Linked DNA regions of Schizosaccharomyces pombe. Changing the gene in region 3 together with the main gene of any one other region gives a genetic interaction. Each region holds a gene or a part of one and is shown on either strand. Other genes may lie near its edges.

Region 1 (7,578 bases), 540 kb from region 3:
CTTGAAGTAGGCCTCATCGGCTTCGAACATACCGTCCATCCAGGGGAGAAGCTTCTTGGCGCAGTGGTCAGAGTGCATGACGACGGGGACACCGAAGAAAGGAGCGATGGAACGGATGTAGTGGGCAGCGGCGATGGAACCGGCAATGGAGGCCTTTTGGCCCTCGTTGGAGGATTCCTTACCAGCAAAGAAGTGAGCACCACCGTTGGAGGTTTGCAAGATGATGGGGGAACGAGCCTCACGAGCAGCCTCAAGAGCAGCAATAGCAGTGGAGGAGGAGGTGACGTTAATGGCAGGGATGGCGAATCCGTGCTCACGAGCGTAGGTGAACAACTTTAAAACGTTGTCACCTGTAATAACACCAGTAGGTACAATATCGAGAATTCCCATTTTGCTAATTTGTGTGTGTGTTCTATACGACCTTTGGAAGTATGATACTGCAACAGTAGCGCGCAACCCTCTATTATATACCATGGAGCCGGAGTTGGCCTCGGAAAAACTTCTCACCTGATGTGCATATCGATACCTATCCGGTCCGTGGTTACCACCAATCACCGTCCCCTGTTTTAGGGGTTGACGTCAAAAGAAGTTTTTGATTTCTTCCATTTACCATCCCCAATCCCCCCGATAGCGCTCTGCATCGAAGTACGCAATTCCGTTCAAGAACCGTAACACGTTGCGTGGTGTGTGTCAAGGCAAAAGGAAGCGGCGGCGGCGGTAACCAACTCGTTCACCCGATGCACAAACACAAACAAAAGAAACATTACCAACGTAAACATAAATACAAACCTAAGCATTAAACATTTATAAATACAAACATCTAACCTGCCCTATACTATTCATATGTCTATTTCATTTCTATTCATTTCTTTTCATTAATTTCATTTCATCTCCTCTTGTCTTGTCTCGTCTCGTCTCGCTTCTCCATTCTCCCAGCCATCCCTACTTCCCAGTTTGAGTGATGGATTTTTCTACTCAACCAACTTGAACCAGCCAACTAAACTAATGCATTTCTTTTGTTATCACAGTCTGGCCGTCTCGGTTCGGTTCGATGGTGTTGTGCCCACACACCCCATCTGCATCTTCGGTAGTATTCTTATTTTATAGTTGTCGCCTGGGTCAAATGATCAAGAAATGCAAGGCAATTCTTCTTCCAAGCATGCTTGAATTAGCTTTACCATCAATGTAAGAATAGACACTTTGCACCGCATTTCATCACTGTCTTTACACAAGCAGGTATGTGAAATGAAAAGTATTTTTGGACATATACAAAGTGCACAACTAAGTAGCTCTCTCACGTATTGATGATTTTCCATGCGTCCGACCGGCATTCGTTTACGGGAGTATGAATTTCGTAAGTGGTTTGATTGATTGAATGCTTTATCATTTTTTGGTTATCTAGTACCACTTGTGTTTCGCTTGGCCACGAGTAATATTAGTCCAGCAATGAGGTGAGAGAAGAGATCATCGTTTGTGTACATAACAAGAGGAAGAAACATTGATAAAAAGGAATTGAGAGAGTGGAAGAGGATGAGACTTGACTAGAAGAGTATGAGACTGCAGTCACTGTCAAGTGTTGCTATTGCTGAGACTAGGAGACAAATCATTCTTACTATTATTAACTCTCTTGTTTACTTGGTAAATTTCATTTCATGTCCATCCATTCATTCCATTCCATTCCACATCTCCACCCATCTCACATCATGTCAAGCTAATATTTCTCTGCTCAAAATCGTTGGTCTGCATTGTCCATTCCATCGTCGTGGCATTGCATCTCTGAGTGTATGTGTGGCATTGCATTGGATTGCGTTTTCATGCTCGGTCATGTGTCACTTTGCTTGGAGTTGCGCTTTGCCTTGTTTTGTCGATTCATTTTTTCCATCCAATTTCTTCCTTCGTACATACGCTTTGTTTACGTTTTCGCTGCAGCTCTGGTCAGGTAACGATTTGCAAGGCAACCATTCCTATTTAGCAACCCCGACACGATGACCGATATACCTCGTTACCTAGATGGGCTCGGTTGATGTCAGCGGCACTTGAACCCTTCGCTACGGATAACAATTGGATTACCGCAGGGAAATGGTTGGAACGGATAAACTCTTGTTGTTAGAGATAAGCAAAATCTTGACGAATATTGTTCCTCGCCTCTTTGGCAACGCAACGCATCGATATAACGATGTAGGGCAATGCACTGTAAGCGGGCTATGTGAGGTTAACGTGGGCTTGTGAAATGAAAGGGAGAGCAGAGGGAAATGGAGAGAGAGAGAGAAAGAGTAAGACTGCAGACGCTGGATAAGTAGCATAACGCAGTGTAACTTGTAACATCGTAACACATCGAGGATAACATATAGACAAAGCGTCGTCGTAACGAATATATAGAGAGAGTTAAAAGACTAGGGTATAATATGTTTACTTGCACGCTCTACTAAATAATAGGTATAGCACGTATATCCAAGTTGTAACTACAGCTATGTACAAGTACATCTCATAGCACAATATACACATATATAAACACATTATGTGGTACAGCCTGTAGACTTTTTATATTTGATAGCATGGTTTGTCGAGTTGTAGGTTTTATTTATTTATTTATTTTTTTAAGTAGACAGCATAGTTTGTGTAATTGATTTTCCATCCATTAAGTTTATTATCCTACTTTTTCGTTTGCACAGAATCTCATTCACTAATACACTCATACATACACACACTTTTTCTTACCCAATCCTTTCTATTTCATTCCTTTACTCCTAGCATTCTTTATAGAAATACATATTCCACTTCATTCACCTATTCATCCATTCATCATTCATCTATCCACTCTATCTTTCTCATTCCTTTCCATTCCTTTACTATATATGCACTACAACTTCATATTCTTATTCCCTAAACAAAACCATAGTGTTCTTCCTTTGCCTCTCTATTCTTTTCCGCTCTTGTTAGCTCTTCACTCAAGCTGACATCCCTCTTCCAGCCCTCCGTCTAACCTTTTTTTCTCCCTGCAAATTAACCTTTTTGTTTCACCATCTCACCATCTTCATCTCGCCTAAAAGGTCTCGCATTCGGTTTCGCCCAAACATAACTTACCGGAACATGCCACCTGCCATCGCTACTCTTCCTGTGGTGTACGGATGATGGTAATGATGCATTCCGTACAATACCCCAAAAAGCTATGAGAAAAAGGTTCCCTATTCCTTTCCAAATTTACTTTTTCTCCCCTGGCGTGGCAAAGTAGCGTAACTCTTCCTATTCCATCTACTAGAACAACTCTTTCGCGTGAGTTACAGTCCCGACCTTCCTTTCCACTTCTTTGTTTACTCGCACCTTCACGCCCTATTAGAGTAAAAAACACTGCCAAAAATTTTATACTATCAAAAAAACGCCATTTTTGTGTACTGCAAGAATCATTACGGTATTTGTAAATTAGCTTCCAAAACGGTTAAACTCTATTAACAAAACACACAGATAACCTCTGTGTACAGCCTAATAAAATTCTCGACCTAGTTCAACTTTCCTATGCCTATCTAAGCTTAACGAATTTTAGAAGCATTGGTTTTTTAAAATATAGCGTTATCTAAAACAGAAAAACTGTATCATCTATTAATGCAACCTAAAGTAAAAAACTATATACATATAAATTTATGAATTTTGTTACAATGTTTACTACATACACTTTACATTCAGTGGAAATTCGTGTAAAGATAATAAATAACAAAGTTTAGTAAAATTTGTCCCCTTACAGGAAACTTATAATTGTATTATTGCTATAATTTAATTGCATCTTCAAACCTAGTTTTCTAATTTCTTTCTCTATCATCCTTTACTAAAATATATCTTTACTTAACTTAACAATATCTTTATTTTTGAAAATATTGTCCAAAAAATATTCTATATACACAACGATATTTGATATAATAATTGCTTAAAAATATCAGTAAAAATATTGTAATATTAGAATTTACAAGAAGATATCTATAAATTTAATTTAATATTTTAACTTTTAACAATATTATTACAAGTTATGAATAATATCCTTCTATCTTCGTATTCCAAAAGCTTAGTTTGCTTTATCTCTTCAACATTTCGAGTATAGCGGTGATACAATATGACTGCATGCTTCATGCTCTAAACTCTTTAAATTTACTATTACAACCGTCGTTAAAACGATCCATTCGTCTACCTTTTCTTTTTTTTTTTTTTAAGTATATATTTATAAAAAAATTTTTGTTTTAAAGAACAAACCACAAGCAAAAAAAATTCATCAATGTTGTTAACAGAAAAAGATAATGCTACCATCATAATAAACATATAAAAAAGAAGAAATATAAGTATAAAACAAGTGCATAAAATGTTAGCTATTTACACAATGTTAAAATTCAAATCCCGAGAAATAATTATTGGGGCAGTCAAAGCCCTCTATAATGTTTTGCAGTAACCCTGAACAAAACAACGTGCGGTAGCGAATATAAAAAAGAAGCAAGTAACTTTAGAGCGATTTTCGAGATGGATCTACGGCATCAGCAGCACGACCAACTGGTGCAGGATGCAAAACGAATCCAGTAAAAGGTATGGGAGTCAGCGGAGGTTGATTAGGATAACCGAAAATTTTTGCATTATTCGGATAGGGTGTGGGTGTAATAGGCATATATGAGTTAGCATTGTTATGGACAGCTGCTGCCGCCGCTGCGGCAGAAGGCCAGAATGATTCGGTTGCATGAATAGGTGCTGTAAGAGGTGTAGTCGGATCTACTTTAAGTGAAGAATTTGGTGTAAGGACTTGTAAGGAGACAGGGATCGTTGGAGTAGCACAATGATTCCAATTACTTACAAACTGGGGAGTCGGAGGCCAGGGAAAGCCAATGTTTTGAGTCGGCATATAGCCTTGATGAGGGTAACCTTGAATTCCTTGTTGCAAATTCATTTGTTGCTGTTGTTGTTGTTGTTGGTATGCGAGATAACGAGATGAAACAAGGGGAGCAGGTCGTAAACGTCGTGTAAGGTTCTTACAGTTTGATACTAGCGTGGAAAGTTCGGGTAATGTGATTCGGGTTTTGGGATTCCTATCAAAAATTCGATTGAGTAGAGAATTGAGCTCTCTACTGATGGGTAAAATGGATAAAAGGGTTGATGGATTGTGAACGTAGGAACGGTAAGTACCATCAGTTTGAGAACATGCACGCTTCCAAGGGTTCCTCTTACAACACAGATTAATTAATATAATTCCCAGAGCCCAGACGTCATTTGGCGCTGTAGCAAAGCTGGATGATTGTGATTCTATAGGTTCAGGAGTTACCGGTAGCATATCTGACAGCGAACTAAGTTTTTTCACCTCCCGTTGACATTCTGGAGACATGTAAAACAGACTACCACATCCAAAGTCACTTGAATAGGGTTCTGTAGTAGCCAGACCAAAATCAGCTAAGTATACGGTGTTTACATCATTTCCAACCATAATGTTTTCGGGTTTAAGATCTCGATGATATATGCCAACTGAGTGACAATGTTCAACAGCAGAAATAAGCTGTAAAAAAACGGTTTTAATTAAATGACTATTCCCTTGATATACCTTTTTCTCCGTGATGTAAGTAAAAAGGTCGCCATTCGGACAATACTGGAGAACGACATAAATGGCGTCTTCCGTTTCTAACACGCGGTGCAATGTAATAATATAAGGATGTGAAGAAACACGAGCATGTAAGGCAAGTTCGCGAGCTTGTAACTTCTTCTGCTTTTCATTTAAGCCATCCTTACATAAAGCCTTTACTGCATACAAGGTACCGTCGTAAATGTCTTCTGCTTTGTACACGACACCATAAGCACCGGCACCGATGATAGAAACAAATCGTAAAGAATCACCCAAGACCTGACCCAAAAGGAGTTCTGGATTTTCGCGCATCATCTAATGTTTAGTAAAGATAAATTAAATAAAGTCCCAATTGATGGCGAAAATTAGATAAGAAAATAGAAAATAAGTATTTCGGATGATAAAGTTTTGAATAGCTTAAAGAACTTTGCAACCGAAACAAAAAAAAAACTTTGAGAAAGGTTAGATTTTCTAATGTCTTCTAAAATCAATGATAAAAAAAACAAAGATCGTTATAAACAGGAAAATAGTCAATAACACAATGATAGGTTTTATCTTGATCGTTTGAGGTTTAATAATATAAGGGAATTTACAAGAAAAAAATTTTTTTTTCAATTGTAAGCAGGTAAAAAATACGACAACGAAGAATGAAAAAGAGAATCGAATACGCCAATCACAGAGAAAACGACCAACATGCAAGAAACAAAATTAATAAAGAAAAGGGGAAATGCAATTGTGGAAGGAAGAGTTAAAACGAATAATATATAATGTTTATGATTAAAAAGCACAGGTCCTTTTGAGTACAACGAATGGAAGTGAGAAGGGAATGTGAATAAAAAACCGGGAAAAATGATGATTAGTATTTTAAGCAGGGAATAAAAAGTAAGAATGCTCAAGATAATCAAAGGAAACTCTAAAGATCAACGTACAAACAAGACACACAACGATTTTCCAAAGGAACAGTAAGAGAAATCGGGAAAATGTACAGGTCAGTAGTCGGTTAAAGATGGGGGAGAAAAGTAGAATTAATTTTTACCTAGTAGTATATCCTTTCCAAATTGAGGTAAAAATGAGAATAGAATGTTCGGTTTAAAAAGAAGAGAGGGGATGAGAAGGAAACACAATCGACAATCAACGCTTGCGAGTAAGTCAATAGACTTAGGTGGAAGAGTTGGACTGGGGAAAAAAGAGATGAGTTCACCTAATGTCAATAAGTATGCACAGCAATATGGATTTGTGAATGTAAAATGAAAAAATCGAGTAATTAAGAAAAGCCGAGAGAAGAGAATTCTTGAAAAGTATTTTCATCAAGCACAAAGGAATTTACAAGAAATCGTTCAGGGTAATTCCCATTTACATTGGGGAAAAGCAGAGAAGTAGTAAGTTTGGATATGGAAAGAAGTATCTATCTCTAATCGAAGAGGCTAGGGGAAAGAACAAAGAAAGGAAAAGCAGACGCGAACAAGAACCAAAGACGAAAGTGAAAAAGAATAAATAAATAAAACAAAAAAAAAATAATAAATTAAAAAAGAGGAAAAGGAAACGCGACTCAAATATGACTAATGCTCGTCGCGATGAGAAATAGTGATTTCTTTGTTAGAAAAACGAGTAAGATGGAAACTTTTAGACACGGGAGATGATAAGAATCCAAGAGGAAGAAGGGAAAACAAATGTAAAAGAAAACGAGGATGGTGGAAGGGAGGATATTAGTAAGAATAAAAAATGGTGGTTAAAGAAAAAATAAAATCCAAATTCGACAATTCAACGTTTGTTTATAGAATTTCGAAGTTTTTAATTAAAAAAAAAATAAAATAAAAAAAATAAGAATACAATCCAAACTTGTGTAGAATGAATAAAAGATAAATTTTTTAATTTTGGTTCGATTTCTAATCAGATAAAAGTAGTGTTTTCTTTATTGCTTTAACACAGTAGACAGCCGAACAACCTGAGTAAGAGTAATCGCGTTAATGACCAGGGGATATGAAAGCTGAAATCGA
Region 2 (9,570 bases), 400 kb from region 3:
TTATTTTCATAATATGATAAGATTCACTGGGAATGTTAAACTCCAGTACCGCATTCCACGATGGTTCTTGACCGCTTCTCTTATCCGTTTGCGTACGTTTTACCACCTCACCAACTCTGCAAACGCAGTAAGGGCTTTGTTTGCCCACTAGAGCCTTGTTTGGTAAATTTTTCTAAAGAAGACACGTTAGTTTTACAAAACAAATCTTCATCTTTTAAGACTTACAGCTTTCCATATTCGGACAACCAACGTTCCAAGAGGATTCTTTGACATATGGTAGATGGAGAAACGGGTTATAAACAAAAAAGCTACTTTATACAATTCGAGTGCGGATTTTAAGCAGTGCAGCGCAACTTCTGTAGGAGGGGGCTGGTTTGTCTCCGATAACGGGGGTTAGCTTTCGTTCATTCATTTAACGTAGCTTACTGCAATTTAAAATGCTTTAACGGAAATTTGTGTACGCTACGATATTGATGGCTCCAGTTAGGAAATTCGTGAAGAAAGATGCCGTGTTAAAAAAAATTAAAAATTAACAAAAAAAAAAAAAAAAAAAGAGAGACGAAAGTTATCGCAAACAAAAAGAACTTTATTAATATAACTAATTGCATTAATGATTGACTCAGTACACACCACACAAATATATTCACTTAATTTTAATTGTTTTAAAATGAGTGTAAAATATCTATTGGTATAACCAATTCCATCACAATTGCTAATTGAATGGAATGATTTGCATAAAATGTTTCTAACTTAATTTTTTTATTCTTTTATGTTTCACGAATACAAATTTATTTTGTTTTTAAAAAACTTCATTTTCTTTGCTTATCTTTTGGGTAGTTTTCGGATCCGTAATCCCAACAAAATGCCAACCCGTATTGACTAATAAGTTCCCGAAAATGTAAGCAAAAGATTTCATTGTAAAACAAATGAATTAGCTATTAAAACTGTTATTTAAATGTTGTAAGGGTTGGTATGTTATATATACAATCTAAGTCTATGTAAAGACTTTTTGAAAGATCCTACTGTACAGAATTCTCCATAATTGAATTCGTGACAAGTACTCATAATATTTGAAACTTGTATATTATTTCTGCGTATAACCTATCTTTATTTTTATTTTAATTTTATTTTTTACTTTATTTTATTTTATTTTATTTTATTTTTTCGTAGGTCTTCTGGAACTGCTGGATCTATTCATACATTGCTAATTACTCAGCGTACGTACACATCTTACAAACACGCAGAAGTCCAACCTAAAACACTTACCTACATACAACATAATATCAGAAATACACGCAACGATTTAGCTTCATCAAAGATATATTATTTATTCATTCATCGGTTAATATAAAATAAGCTTGAGTTAAGAGTGAAATAAGATTCATGGCACTATACACAAACTCACCATTTTTACTACATATTGCTAACATCATATTTGCTTAAAAAGCACGCACTCCATGATATACCAATAACATCCTACTTTCCGTCCATCCTTTCCCATTCCCCAAACTATCGATACGTTTCTTAACGATACGATAACACAAAATACAAAACTACACAGCAGTACTTTAAGTATCGTCTTGCTCGGTTTATTCCAGACCCATTTCCTTGTTACCCTTCTTCAGAGCCCCGCACGTGATTGGTTAAGTTCAATCATGCAAAGTGATGCAATGACGTCATCTGTTTGAAACAGGTGGAAGTGTGGCACTAGGAATTTACAACTTACCCTTTACTTACAACATAAGAAGAAAGAAACTACTTAGGAAATTGCTAAAAAGTTTACTTTGAGCACTTTTTGAACGATTGAATTGACGAAAACCATTTTTCTGTTTGTAAATTTCAGTTTGGACAGTTGACCGAGTCTTTTCATCATTTATACAGTAGTCATCGCTTAGTTGGATCTGAATTACGAATTCTCTGGTTCATGACGACGACCTGCTACTAGTACGTTTGGTTGATTAAGTCAAATAGGTATGTGTTTATACATGCAATTGTGAAGTTTGATTATGTAAAAGGCTGTAAAATTGGAAGAGCGTGATAAAAACGTGACGGGTTGTGTTGAAAACCGAATTTTTATGAAAATTTGAAAATTTGCTCCTATCGTCATTGACCCTACTAAACATGACGAGTATGACGCTTTCTTATCAATAACACTGATCGTTATGGGGTTGTTAGTTTACAGGAAACGTAAAATGTGTTTGGAATTCCTTCGTTTTTTGAGGGTTTGGAAATTTTTTTTTGGTGTTGTTGTGCTAGAAAATTTTACTTGTTACCATTGTAGGTTACTATTGCCTTGACTGAACTGGGATCTATGTGGTGGCAACTTTTGATGAATGATTTCTCGGAAGTGAATAAACGCACACGGGAAGAGAACAAGAGTAGAAAGGAAGCTAGAAGAGCGGAAAACCCGTTTTGTCTCGTTTTTGGCAAAAAAATTTCCAAAAAAGAAAAACGGGTGTTTTAGCAGGTGTATTTGCTGTTGAAGTACGAATCTCTTTATTACTCTACGCTTGACTGTACTCTCTCACATTAAGTTCTGAAACTCATTCAAAAAAGGCCTCCACATTCATATAATCCAAATCAACACACCCTAACAAAAACGATCGAACGAAGAAAAGGAAAAGAACAAAGAGTAGGAACATCCCTTTTATCTTTTGTAATTCTTTATTAGTTTCTTTGTTATTTTATTTGGACATGTTCTTTTACAAACTTGACTATTACCTTTGCGAGTTTTTTTTTACCCTTTGTAGAATATCTTCCTTCACAATCTTGCATATCTAGTCTTCTAGCTTTGCCTGTACAGACATCTAACTAATTCTCGTCTAGAGCCTCCGTCGCGGTTTTCCCTTTTTTTTTCGAGAAAGTTGTATTTTTATCTCCTTAATCTCCTCCTCCTTTTTTTTTCTTTTCTTTTTTATTGAAACAATATAGTTTCTATTTTTTCTGCTTTATCAGCCGTTATTACTTCTGTCTTGTCAAATTTGGAAAGCCATTAATTTCTTGTAGTTGTTTTTTTATTTAGTTTTGACAAAACTATTTTCGATCTTCTCTTTAAACGGGTTCATCTATATATCTAAATTATTTATTTTCGTTATTTAAGCGTGTGTGATTTTTAACGTCATCTCTTAATACATTTTGTCAAGTGTTAAAGCATAAATTCTTCAATTATGTCCCCGTCTCCCGTCAATACTTCCACAGAACCAGCATCTGTTGCCGCTGTTTCAAATGGTAATGCTACTGCTTCCAGTACTCAGGTTCCGGAAAACAATCAATCTGATTCATTTGCACCACCAAGCAACAATTCTCAGCAGAATCAACAGTCTTCAACTATCGCTCCTAATGGAGGGGCCGGATCTGTCGCTAATGCGAATCCAGCTGACCAATCCGATGGTGTAACTCCGTCTTTCGTAGGCTCCTTGAAGCTGGATTACGAACCCAACCCCTTTGAGCATTCATTTGGCTCTACCGCTTCGGTTGGACAAGGAAATCCTTCTCTTAATCGTAATCCTAGCCTTAGTAACATTCCTTCAGGTGTGCCTCCTGCGTTTGCGCGAACTCTCTTACCTCCTGTTTCTTCCATAGCATCACCTGATATCTTAAGTGGAGCTCCAGGTATTGCCTCGCCGTTGGGCTATCCTGCTTGGTCTGCTTTTACTCGTGGTACAATGCATAATCCCCTTTCTCCTGCTATTTATGATGCTACTCTTCGTCCTGACTACCTAAACAATCCTTCAGATGCATCTGCAGCAGCTAGATTTTCTAGTGGAACTGGATTTACTCCTGGTGTTAATGAACCCTTCCGATCTCTTTTAACCCCTACTGGAGCTGGATTTCCCGCTCCTTCACCTGGTACTGCCAATTTATTAGGGTTTCATACGTTTGATTCTCAATTTCCTGATCAATATCGTTTTACCCCAAGGGATGGTAAACCGCCTGTTGTAAATGGGACGAATGGTGACCAGTCTGATTATTTCGGTGCCAATGCTGCGGTTCATGGGTTATGCTTACTCTCCCAGGTTCCCGATCAGCAGCAAAAGCTTCAGCAACCCATCTCCTCTGAAAACGATCAAGCAGCATCCACCACTGCCAACAACCTCCTGAAGCAAACTCAGCAACAGACTTTCCCCGACTCTATCCGGCCATCTTTTACTCAAAATACTAACCCCCAAGCTGTTACAGGTACAATGAACCCTCAAGCATCTCGTACTCAGCAACAGCCTATGTACTTTATGGGGTCGCAACAATTTAACGGCATGCCATCTGTTTACGGCGATACAGTTAATCCTGCCGACCCTTCATTAACATTACGCCAAACCACGGACTTTTCCGGACAAAATGCCGAGAATGGATCCACAAATCTACCGCAAAAAACTTCTAATTCTGATATGCCAACGGCAAATTCGATGCCGGTCAAACTCGAAAATGGTACTGACTATTCCACTTCGCAAGAGCCTTCTAGTAATGCCAATAATCAATCCTCACCCACTTCTTCCATTAATGGTAAGGCTTCTAGTGAATCTGCCAACGGCACTTCGTATAGCAAAGGTTCATCTCGCCGGAATTCCAAAAACGAAACTGATGAAGAGAAACGTAAAAGCTTCCTGGAACGCAATCGACAAGCTGCTCTTAAATGTAGACAGCGTAAAAAACAATGGCTTTCTAATCTTCAAGCGAAGGTTGAATTTTATGGTAATGAAAATGAAATTTTAAGTGCACAAGTCAGTGCATTACGTGAGGAAATTGTGAGTTTGAAGACCTTATTGATTGCTCATAAAGACTGCCCAGTGGCCAAGAGTAATTCGGCTGCTGTTGCAACAAGTGTCATCGGAAGCGGTGATCTTGCTCAAAGAATCAATTTAGGGTACTAGACTGTTTTTGATCTGAAAAGGTCTCAGTCTGTGATGGTTGTAATGAAGAATAACGTTTTTACTTCCCTTTGACTTTCCCTCCGTTGAGGGTTGTAACGCCCTTTTCCATGCATTTAGCTATGTTATGGATGTGAAATTATATATGTTTATTTTACATTAAAAAATCTTTAGGCTTCTCTTTTTATATTTCTTCCCGTTTTCCATTACTGTTTTAATTTTGCACTGAACGCCGTCCCGCATGCATACTTTTAGTACTTTATGAAGTGATAAAATTTGTCTGTCGTGTCTAGTTCACTATAATATCGTTTGGACAACAAAAACTACACGCTTTCTTAATGTTTACCATTCATCACATGTGGCAGAGTTATAGAATACTACTTATAACTCATTCTTATGAGATTGATTTGATTTAATAATTAAAACTATATTATTTAGTAAGAATCAGCAGTGTTTTTAATAACAACTGATTACTGTTTTCCTTTAATGTAAGAAATCAACAAGTCTTAGTGTATTGTGGGAGTATTAATATCGTGAACAGTATATAAATCAAGTTAATGAATAGGTTTGTCATCGGTCATTTACATATCTATTATCATACGAACATGCATTCATAAGATGAAATCAAGTTAAAATTTGCACCTTCACAATATTTACTTTACTTAGTGAGTGTTTGTCGCTACATTGAGGATGTATACAAAAAGTGAAAATGAAATTACTGATGTTCACATTACAAAACGTATATAAAAATGCAAACGTTTGTTTCAATTTAGAACGAACTATTCAATTCTAACAACAATTAATAAAAAATAACAAATTAGAAAGCTTAATAAACATGAGATAAACTTGTTGAACGATTGATTAAACACAAATCTAATCATGCAACGTAAAAAAAAATAGACAACAATCAATCATCCAAAAATATATATTGCATAGATGTTGAATATTCAAACACTAAAAGAAAGTGTAGACATAATTAATTCACGAAGCTTTAGTATACAAATCAATGCTTATAATTTTTATCATTTGTTAAAAGATGGAAAAAAAAAACAAAGAAAAAAATACAGCATTGATTTTACCATTCGGCGGGACCAAAGAATTCACCTGCTGACTCATTGACGAGTTTCCTAACAGCGGCACCTGTAGCATCCAGCGTATTAAAGGCACCATCATTACCCCACCAATCTGGGAAATTAACCATAGGCAACTGTAAGCAAAAGAAAAGTATAATGACCGACAACTGCGTACCAGTATCAAGAGCAGCAGAAAGCGTGAAATTGTATTTCTGCCACCAGTCTGCGAATATCTTCTTCAGATAATAATTGAAGAACAGACCAATTCCAGACCAAGCCAGATAGTTTACAGGAGTAGCTGGGGGAATATAACCAGTACCTCCAAAAATTAGCGGGCCATTCAATTGACCCCACCATTTTTGAGGCCATTTCTTCCATAGAGCCCAGAACAAAATTGTACCCAGCACGCCAGCGAGCCAGAAGTACTGCAATCCCGTATAGGTGTTTTTTCCAGAAAACATTCTCTTGGGACCAATTACACCCCAAATAACGGAAGAATTAAAAAAGACAGTTGCATTAGGACAAGTGTAATTATCAGGTTGATCGGCCTGGCAAACATTATCAATATTACCCAAAGCCCAATCCAATACGCCGATCTGAACAAAGCAAGACCATATGGTGGCAATCATTTGGGTGTAAAACATGATTCTGGGAGGAAGCTTCATGTAATGACCAAACTTCAGATCGGCAGCGAAAGCCAATCCCTGAGTCATTGTAATATAACCGACAGTCTTGAAAATCATCATGGCCAAAGGACGACCAGGATACATATAACCAACGATAAACTCGGTGAATACATTCAAGCCTAGCTGGATGTTGGTTATAGCTTGAACGATGCCAATTGGAATGAACCATACAGCAGAGAAAATGACACCGACAATGATAACCCACCAAGGGGTTTCCGTTTTCCAACCATAAATAGTACCCATCATCATGCCGAAAAAGGCCAAGAAAACACTCAAATACCAATAGAAGGGAACTTCATCATAGGCTTTCATGAGTTTTTCATGGATATCAGGTGCGGGTGGATCGCGTAACCTGTCGTAGATCTCTTTTCCATGGTATAGGATCACGTGGAAAATGACAGAAGTGATGGAAGCGAAGGAAAGGCCAAATGCCAAAGCGTAGGTGGTGGACATGAAAATGGGAGAATAGTTTTGATAGGCATCCAAATCAAACGTAGCATCCTTGGTGAGGATGCGAGTAACGTTATAGCTATTACCAAAGTGATCGATAATACCAGAACTACTGATCGGTAGGTAATCACCATACCACGTGTTGGTAAAGTTAAGGGCTGGAGTGACGATCCAAAAGAATAGAATGACGCCCAAAAGAATGTTCATCAAAGCATCGGCAGGAGCCATGAGGGGGGAAAGAATGTATGCGGAAATTTGATTCCAATCAAAAGTCATGGGAAGGATGGAGATTCCGGTGGATTCACCAAAGATTTGATTTACAGTTGGACTATTAGGACGAATCCAAGTGACCCAAGCAAATAGGGAAAGGGCTTGGAAAATGTAGGAAGGGAACCAATTCCAAATGAATGAAGCAATAAAAACGTACAAAAAGAAACGGAAGGGGGAAATTCTCCAGCCATTGGCAACGGCGTTTCGTAAGTCTTTGCGATGTAAAGTCTTGATCAAGGTGCATTGAACGAGATTCACAGGCCACAACATACTAGCAGGACGGACCAAAAGTCTTCTGGATAAACCAGCCAATCCGTATCCGATAAGTTGAGTGGCCAAAGTCAAACAGATTTCGTAGCCAAAGCCGAAGCGCTGTTTGTAGTGTACACGTTGGGCGAGGATGATATCGGTGGAGTAGGCATTACCAAACGATACACTCGACATAACGACGATGAGAGCATGTTCTTTAACGTTAAAGGGACCAGGCTTAAAATTAAACTTTAAACGTCCAATGCGAAATTCGCGATCGGGGAAAATCAAGTCCCAAATCTGTAATGCTGGGTATGCGAGAAGCTCGGAAATCAAAACACTCAAAGTGACGGTTGGGTTTCGAAGGGAAAAGAACATGTTGACGGCGGCACCAACGGTGGAATAGATGAGACCAATGGTCCACATGCGAATGGTGTTGCATGGCATACTTGGATCATCGGTAGGAGGGACGGCGGCACGAACCTCTGGATAAGGAGAGTCTTCCTCAAACTCGTCAACCGTACTAATTTCACCATGTTCGACATCGAGAAAGGACTTTGTGTCTTTCTTGATGTCTTTGGATAAACTGTCATCGGAATGGCTAACGATGTAATCAGAGATGTCGACGGAGTCGGCCTTTTCCTTTGTAGAGGGGGAGTCATTCATATGCTCCTCGATGGGAGACTCATTGATGGAACCGATCATTATGGGAAGAAGGGAGGAGAATCAAGAGAGAGAGAGAGAGAGAGAGAGAAAAAAAAAAAGTCAAACTTGATTCACCAAAAAAATAAAAAGAAACAAACCAAAAATGGTTGAGAGAGAGAAATACTAGAAAAAGTTTTTGCTTAGTTTTCGAAAGAGAGGAAACAAGATTTTCCAAATAGAATTGACGAGAGACGAAACGAAAATGATGTATTTATGAAACGAAACGAAACGAACAGTGCGATACGATAAAGAAATCACAAAAAAATCACTACGAAACTTCACGGTGATTGAAGAAACGAGCAATGGATGGGATTTGGAAAAAGAGCAAAGTGTTTAATACTTCTTCATCAATAAAATTCGTGAAGGAAGAAAAACACCTTTATGTTTTTATGGAATCAACGTCCACGTATGTAGAGATAAAAATGTATACAAGATGGTTTTTATAGACTGTACAAAAATAGTATAGTCTAGAATAGAATAGTATAGTATAGTATAGTAAAGTAGAGTAGAGTATAGTCTAGTACAGCAACAATAACAATTTAGTTTTTGTTTTTTCTTTAACTTTCCTTTTCTTTTTATGTTACAATGGTTTCCAAACTTTTAGTATCTTGGAGCGGGCGGGGGGATTTAGCTGCCGAAAAACGTGCAAACAATAATCGATGTTAATTTGTTCAACTTTTATTTTGAGTTGACACATGGAGGGATTTTCACCTCTATATATAAAAGGGAAAAAAGGTGCGGCATTTGATTTTTTCCACTCGTAATCAATTCATTGCTCTTTCTTCCTTCCATGATAACCAACCCTTTCGCTCATTGTGTGTGAAATATGAATCAGAGATAAAGTCCTTATTACATAAATGGGATGCAGGAGATGACCAGTCAGTTCTATTCTATCTTGATAAAAGTCGTACTGTTGTCATGAAGGGGTCAGGGGCGGCAAAGCTTGACGATGGAGAGAGAGGAAGAAAGCACAATCGACAAAGTAGAACTGATAAGCAAAGCAAAGCAGAATTGACAAAGCAAAACGGAATTGAAAAAAGCACAGATGATGAGGATTCAAAGGGATGTAAAGCTGAAGAAAAGAAAAGAAAAAAAAAAGAAAAGGAAAAAAAAGAGGATTTGTTTATATTTTCATAATTTTGATTCAATTGATGTGTGTGTGTTTGTATGTAAGTGTAAGTGTAAGTGTATGTATTGTTGTTTTTATTTATATATATTTTTTTATATTTCAATTCATCCCTTTTCTCTTCCTCTCTCTCTCTCTCTCTCTTT
Region 3 (5,125 bases):
TGAAACTGCAAAAGCGAAATACGCATCTCAAAAGCGACCGTAATATATTACGGCGTTCTTTCTCAAAAAATATTCCACTATGAAGGAATTTTCATTTCCAGGATAAAAATCTGTTATGACTCTAGATTACCTTGTTGGACTTATGTTGGGAGAATTTGTTTCTTTGATATATAAAAGTCTCGTACTTTTTAAATAAATGAATACCTCAAATCTCTTTGAGTAATATATTAATAGTTTAAGTAATTATTATTAGGTCGATATAATATCTATTAACACTTGCATTTACGATGGATTCAATCTCTCTAAGTAATCACCATTGTAGGAAACAGGAGATCATAGTAGCTAAAACGACGGAGCCAGTCAACGAAGTTTTAAAAGAAATAAATTAATACAGTACAAGTAACTTTTACAATTGCAAACTTTCGTTTGCACTTCTAAAGCCCCTTAGTTAAATAAAAAAAAAGTTTTTTATGGTGGACGTAAATGCCTTAAACAAATGTAATAACACATTAAATACCCGTTTTAATTTAAAGCAAAAATGCAAACATCAACTACCGTTATACGGAATCATACCCAAATTATTAAATTTATGAAAAAGCACAAATGCAAAATAGCGTCGGTTCTGCTGAAACATAATTATGGATCACGTAATAGTCATGCATTCGAAATTAAAGACAAACACCAATGCGCATGGGTACTTTAAAACAGAGCAGGCAATTAGAAAGCAGGCGAACCTTTAGCTTCTTTTTTCACCTTTCTCTTTAAGAGCGCCTTTTGCCCATGAAGCCATGTCCACATCTGCATTTTGATATTTTAACAACCATGGATGGTTAGCCAACTCATGATAATCGGGACGCAAAGACGGGTTTTTATTCAAACACTTGTTTACAAAATCACGAGCTTCGGGAGAAAATGAATCGGGGAGAGAAGGTGGATCGCCATCGCAAATCGCCGATAGTTGTGCAAATATTGAAGTATATGATTCAGGTGGATACGGATAAGCTCCTAAAGCCATTTCTAAAATGGTAAGGCCTAGAGACCACACATCAGCCTGTACGGTGTAAGTCAAGACGCCATTGGTAGGTCCACCAACACGAATTCTTTCAGGAGCCATGTAAGATTGACATCCAATGTTCGTTTTGGATATAGAAGCCACAAGATTCCCACTCACGCCAAAGTCACATAACTTAACCTGGCCATTAGAATTTACCAAAACATTAGTAGGTTTAACGTCACGATGAATGATATTATGCTCCTCTTTCAAAGTTTTGAGGCCTTGCACTACAGCATAAGCAGTTCTAGCTAAAACTCCTTCGTCTTTGATACCACCAGCATACAGTTTGTCCATGCTACCAGCATCCATATATTCCATACAAATAAAAACAGAACCTTCCACAAAAAAGGCACCATAAAAGTCAACGATATAAGGACTAACTGCTTTATGTAAAATATCCAATTCCATTATAATTTGATTAAATGTTGCTTCTTCTAAGGACAACCTAATTTCCTTCAAGGCCATAGTGACACCAGTCGGTTGATGCAATGCTTTATACACAACACCATAGTTACCTTTTCCAAGTTCTTCAAGCTTAATAATCTCTGACATATTAATACGAAACGAAGAGCCAGATGAAAAGTTAACACCTTCTGAATTTAACACGGCTTTGTTTTTAAAATTTAAGGTGCCTGATTTTGCATCCAAAATATCCGAAAATGTGGAAAAAGGGGTTTCCGAAACAGCCTGTTTAAGGGTGGGAGGAATGTTTAGGCCACGGCGAGAAGCCATGCTAGACGGACTGACAGGGCTGGTGGGATTGGAATTGGATAAATCGAGTTTTCCAGGTGGTGCACGACGGATTCTCGTTTGTCGATTGAAGGACGTTGGACGGTTGAGTAAAGGATTCCTAGCAGCAGCAAGTGATTTTGCAAGCCCGGACTCTGGCATATTCGGAGACTTTACGGGCGAATTACTTAATCGACCAGCAAGTTGAGAGTTAGGCAAAGGATAACTTCCTCGTTGACCCATACCGACAATAGGGGTAGTTGGACTACTGATCTTGTTGACTACTTCCGGCATTGATTTTGATCTAGATGCATGGAAGGCCTTCAATTTCTCCTGTATATCAGTTGAAAGTCCTCCAGGAAATGGGCCCGGTGGAGTAGGAGGAGATCCAATATTGTTCTGACCAGCTGCTGTAGGAAGTGAACGTCTAGGTTTTTCCGAAGGATCCTTCATGTCAAGGTTAAGAGAGTTACGACTCCGACTGGACGTAGATCTGCCAAGTCTGACCGTAGGCACGGCACGGGGAAGAGGGGGATCGGAAGGTATTTCACGACTAGGAGAAGAAACCTTTGAGTCATTGTCACTGCCACTACTGTTAGAATTTAAAGACAAGGAACCCAAGGAAGAACCAGAAGAATCGGTGTTTGAAGAACTTGAAGACGAAAGAGAAAGGAGCGAGCCGGGAGTACCAACATCACCGGGAGGTGCGGTAGGAGAAATAGACAGCTGTCTCAATGAGCAAGACAAGGGTTGATTATTTGGAGAAGACATATAAAATAAATGTGCTTCACAAACTTAAAAAAAAAGAAAAAAAAATTAGGTAAACTAAATTCCGGTAATATAAATGAAGCAAAAGTGAAGATGAACGAAAGTGAGATGGCAATACAAAAAAGGTATCTTGGGTGAAAAGAACAATTAAAATTAGACAATCAATTACGAGTCGTCTCCGACGAAGAAGGAAAAAAAAAGCGGTGGTCTAAAAAGTCCGCAGGAAGGATATTCCAAGAAAAAAAAAGGAAGTTTAAAGGCAATCACCTACGAGTAGCTTTGTGTAGGTAAATGCCACGGAAAAAAAGGAGGTTTGGAAGGGTTTAAATTTAACAGCAAAAGCCAGAAACTGGAAGAAACAGGGGCTTAGATAATAAATTTCCCAAGGAGAACTAAAGAAAAAAAAGTAAAAAGGTGTGGGTTAATCTTAGTCCGAGAAGTCAATACTTTAAAACCGAGTTATGACCGACGAGTAAGGAGGCAAAGGTAAGGAGAAAAAGTAATAATTCACAAACACGAAATAAAAAGGAAAGAAATTTGAAATTATCTTTCTAAAAGATAACACGTAAGGGTGTGGAAGGAAGAGAAAAAATTCAGAAACGCTTTTCTCTTACAGTAAAGAGCAAAAAAAATTCTGCTCTTTAAAGGAAATGGGAAAATTTAGGGAGGGTGATAAAATAGGAAGTGTAGTCGGTACGATGTAAATAAGATATACACGTCGAAAGGGAATGCTTGAGAGATTAGGAATCCCAGCTATCGCCAGCCGGCTGGGGTATGTTTGGGTATACAAGAAGGTGGAATGGGATGGAGTTGGTGAAGGATAAAAGGATAACGAAAGTCAGACAACACGTTGCTTAATCTTAAGGAGAAACTTTTGCACGTTAGCTTACGTATCAGTATATAAGGATAACGTGGATAAAAAAATGTTTCATCAAAACAAGGGATGGTTAAGGGATACAATCAAATTTGTAAAATCAAAATAACGTGAAGCCAAATAATATGCTGCAGATCTCCGTATAAGCGTAACGACCTGTATGAATCATTCGACAAGATTTCTAACAAGGTATCCTGAGATTTATATGCAAATGGAAAGAATGTACGGCAGAAATAGCTGGTAAGAAATACCTCGATGGATTAATGGGAAAGCACAGGATGATTGGGTAAAATGCTCAACGTATAGAGAATAATACATAGAAGTAAAGAAAAACAGAAAAAAAAAGGGCCGAAAAATATTTTAATGGAAGATAAACACAACGATTTATCGGTCTTGACAGAAGGAATTGAATTGTCCGATAGATATGGTAGTGTTTGATTAGAAAAGAATAAAGAATAAATAAATAAAAACAAAAATAATTAATGATTAGGTGCATAGGGCTTTAAGTTTCAAAGCTGGTATTCGAATGTCAATGTATACTAAGAAAAATCATGATCCAAGGTAAAATGTATAACCAAATAAATAAGAGAAATATAACTAACCTAGTAGCTTCCGTCCTTGAGAGCGATAAAAAAAAGCGAGTTAACGCACAAGTGTTTCGAAAAGGTGTAGTAATGTATAATAAAACATTTTTTAATAATCGTTAAAAGGTTCAGCAAGTGGAATGAAGAGAGTGTGTTATTTGTGCTCTAGAAGCAGCGTAAAAAAAAATTTATTTATTTTTAAATTTTTTTTTTTTTTCTAATTTTTTTAAATTTCTTTTGTTTAAGGAAACACACAAAAATAATGTAAGAGTAGCAGCAAAACTGCTAGGAACATTTTGTTCTATGGAAAAAGACACTGAAGTGAAAAGTGCAACGAAGGGGTAGAACTTTCGTAGGAAGGAAAAACAAGCAAAGAGAAAAAAATTTACAAAAGTTCCTAGATCACTCCATCTATATGCAAATGCATAATGTACGGTGTATGCTCGAACAAAGTAGAAAGGGGGCTATAAAAACGATTTGAGGATAATCCTTTATTAATGAGAAAAAATTTGGAACGTCTAGTTTTGCGCCAACATCAAGGGAAGACAAAAAAAATTTTCATTAAAACAGACTCAATAATGTTCAATTGAGATAGAAGAATACAGAAAGAGTCGAATGATTGAACATGTGGTGAAAAAGGCTGAAGATGAAACTAGATAGAAAGAGGCTGTATTCCCAACATCCAAAAATGAGGAAAAACTAAAGAAGAGAAGGAAAGTGGAATAAAATGAAGAAATTAAAAGAGAAAATCATACGATGAAACTGAGAAGAAGAAGAAGGCATTTTATTTTAATTTTATTAATTTTATTAGATTTCATTTCGTTTGACGCTTTACGGTTTCATGAAATGCCAAATTGCTAATTCTTTATTAGATTTTGGAGTATTTTCATTGTTAGTCTGCGAGTATTTTCATTATTAGTTTGTATTTAAAAAGTTTCATCGTATGTTTCTATAGATGCGTTTTTTTTTACATTATTTGAATTGAATGAAGAATTGATTTGCTATAAGAGAAATTTTTGACTTGGTATGGTTGCTGGCTGGCACCCACGGCTGCGTATGCCACATACCATACAATAGTAGACTAAGACGACTGTACATACGAATGGTAGTTGTTTT

Evidence for each region.
Region 1: of wis1 (region 3) and pat1, a mutation in one rescues a mutant of the other (synthetic rescue), as found in Schizosaccharomyces pombe (2 studies listed by BioGRID).
Region 2: of wis1 (region 3) and atf1, a mutation in one rescues a mutant of the other (synthetic rescue), as found in Schizosaccharomyces pombe (2 studies listed by BioGRID, with this or other methods).

The regions. Positions count from the first base shown.
Region 1 is NC_003423.3:1,681,179-1,688,756, reverse strand, and holds pat1 (serine/threonine protein kinase Ran1/Pat1), read right to left. Parts: upstream 5,897-7,578; coding exon 4,484-5,896; 3' UTR 4,202-4,483; downstream 1-4,201. Other genes in the region: fructose-bisphosphate aldolase Fba1, read right to left, coding at 1-390; protein mug124, read left to right, coding at 1,552-1,989. UniProt on the Schizosaccharomyces pombe protein: This protein is a negative regulator of both sexual conjugation and meiosis. It phosphorylates mei2. It blocks the onset of meiosis until conjugation takes place.
Region 2 is NC_003423.3:1,544,494-1,554,063, forward strand, and holds atf1 (Atf-CREB family transcription factor Atf1), read left to right. Parts: upstream 1-1,723; 5' UTR 1,724-1,971; exon of another isoform or gene 1,972-2,367; intron 2,368-2,826; 5' UTR 2,827-3,167; coding exon 3,168-4,868; 3' UTR 4,869-5,369; downstream 5,370-9,570. Other genes in the region: contractile ring-membrane anchor Fic1, read right to left, coding at 1-172, 226-273; plasma membrane OPT oligopeptide transmembrane transporter family Isp4, read right to left, coding at 5,941-8,298.
Region 3 is NC_003423.3:1,143,231-1,148,355, forward strand, and holds wis1 (MAP kinase kinase Wis1), read right to left. Parts: upstream 3,374-5,125; 5' UTR 2,555-3,373; coding exon 737-2,554; 3' UTR 501-736; downstream 1-500. Other genes in the region: ubiquitin hydrolase Uch2, read left to right, coding at 1-43. UniProt on the Schizosaccharomyces pombe protein: Dosage-dependent regulator of mitosis with serine/ threonine protein kinase activity. May play a role in the integration of nutritional sensing with the control over entry into mitosis. It may interact with cdc25, wee1 and win1. May activate sty1.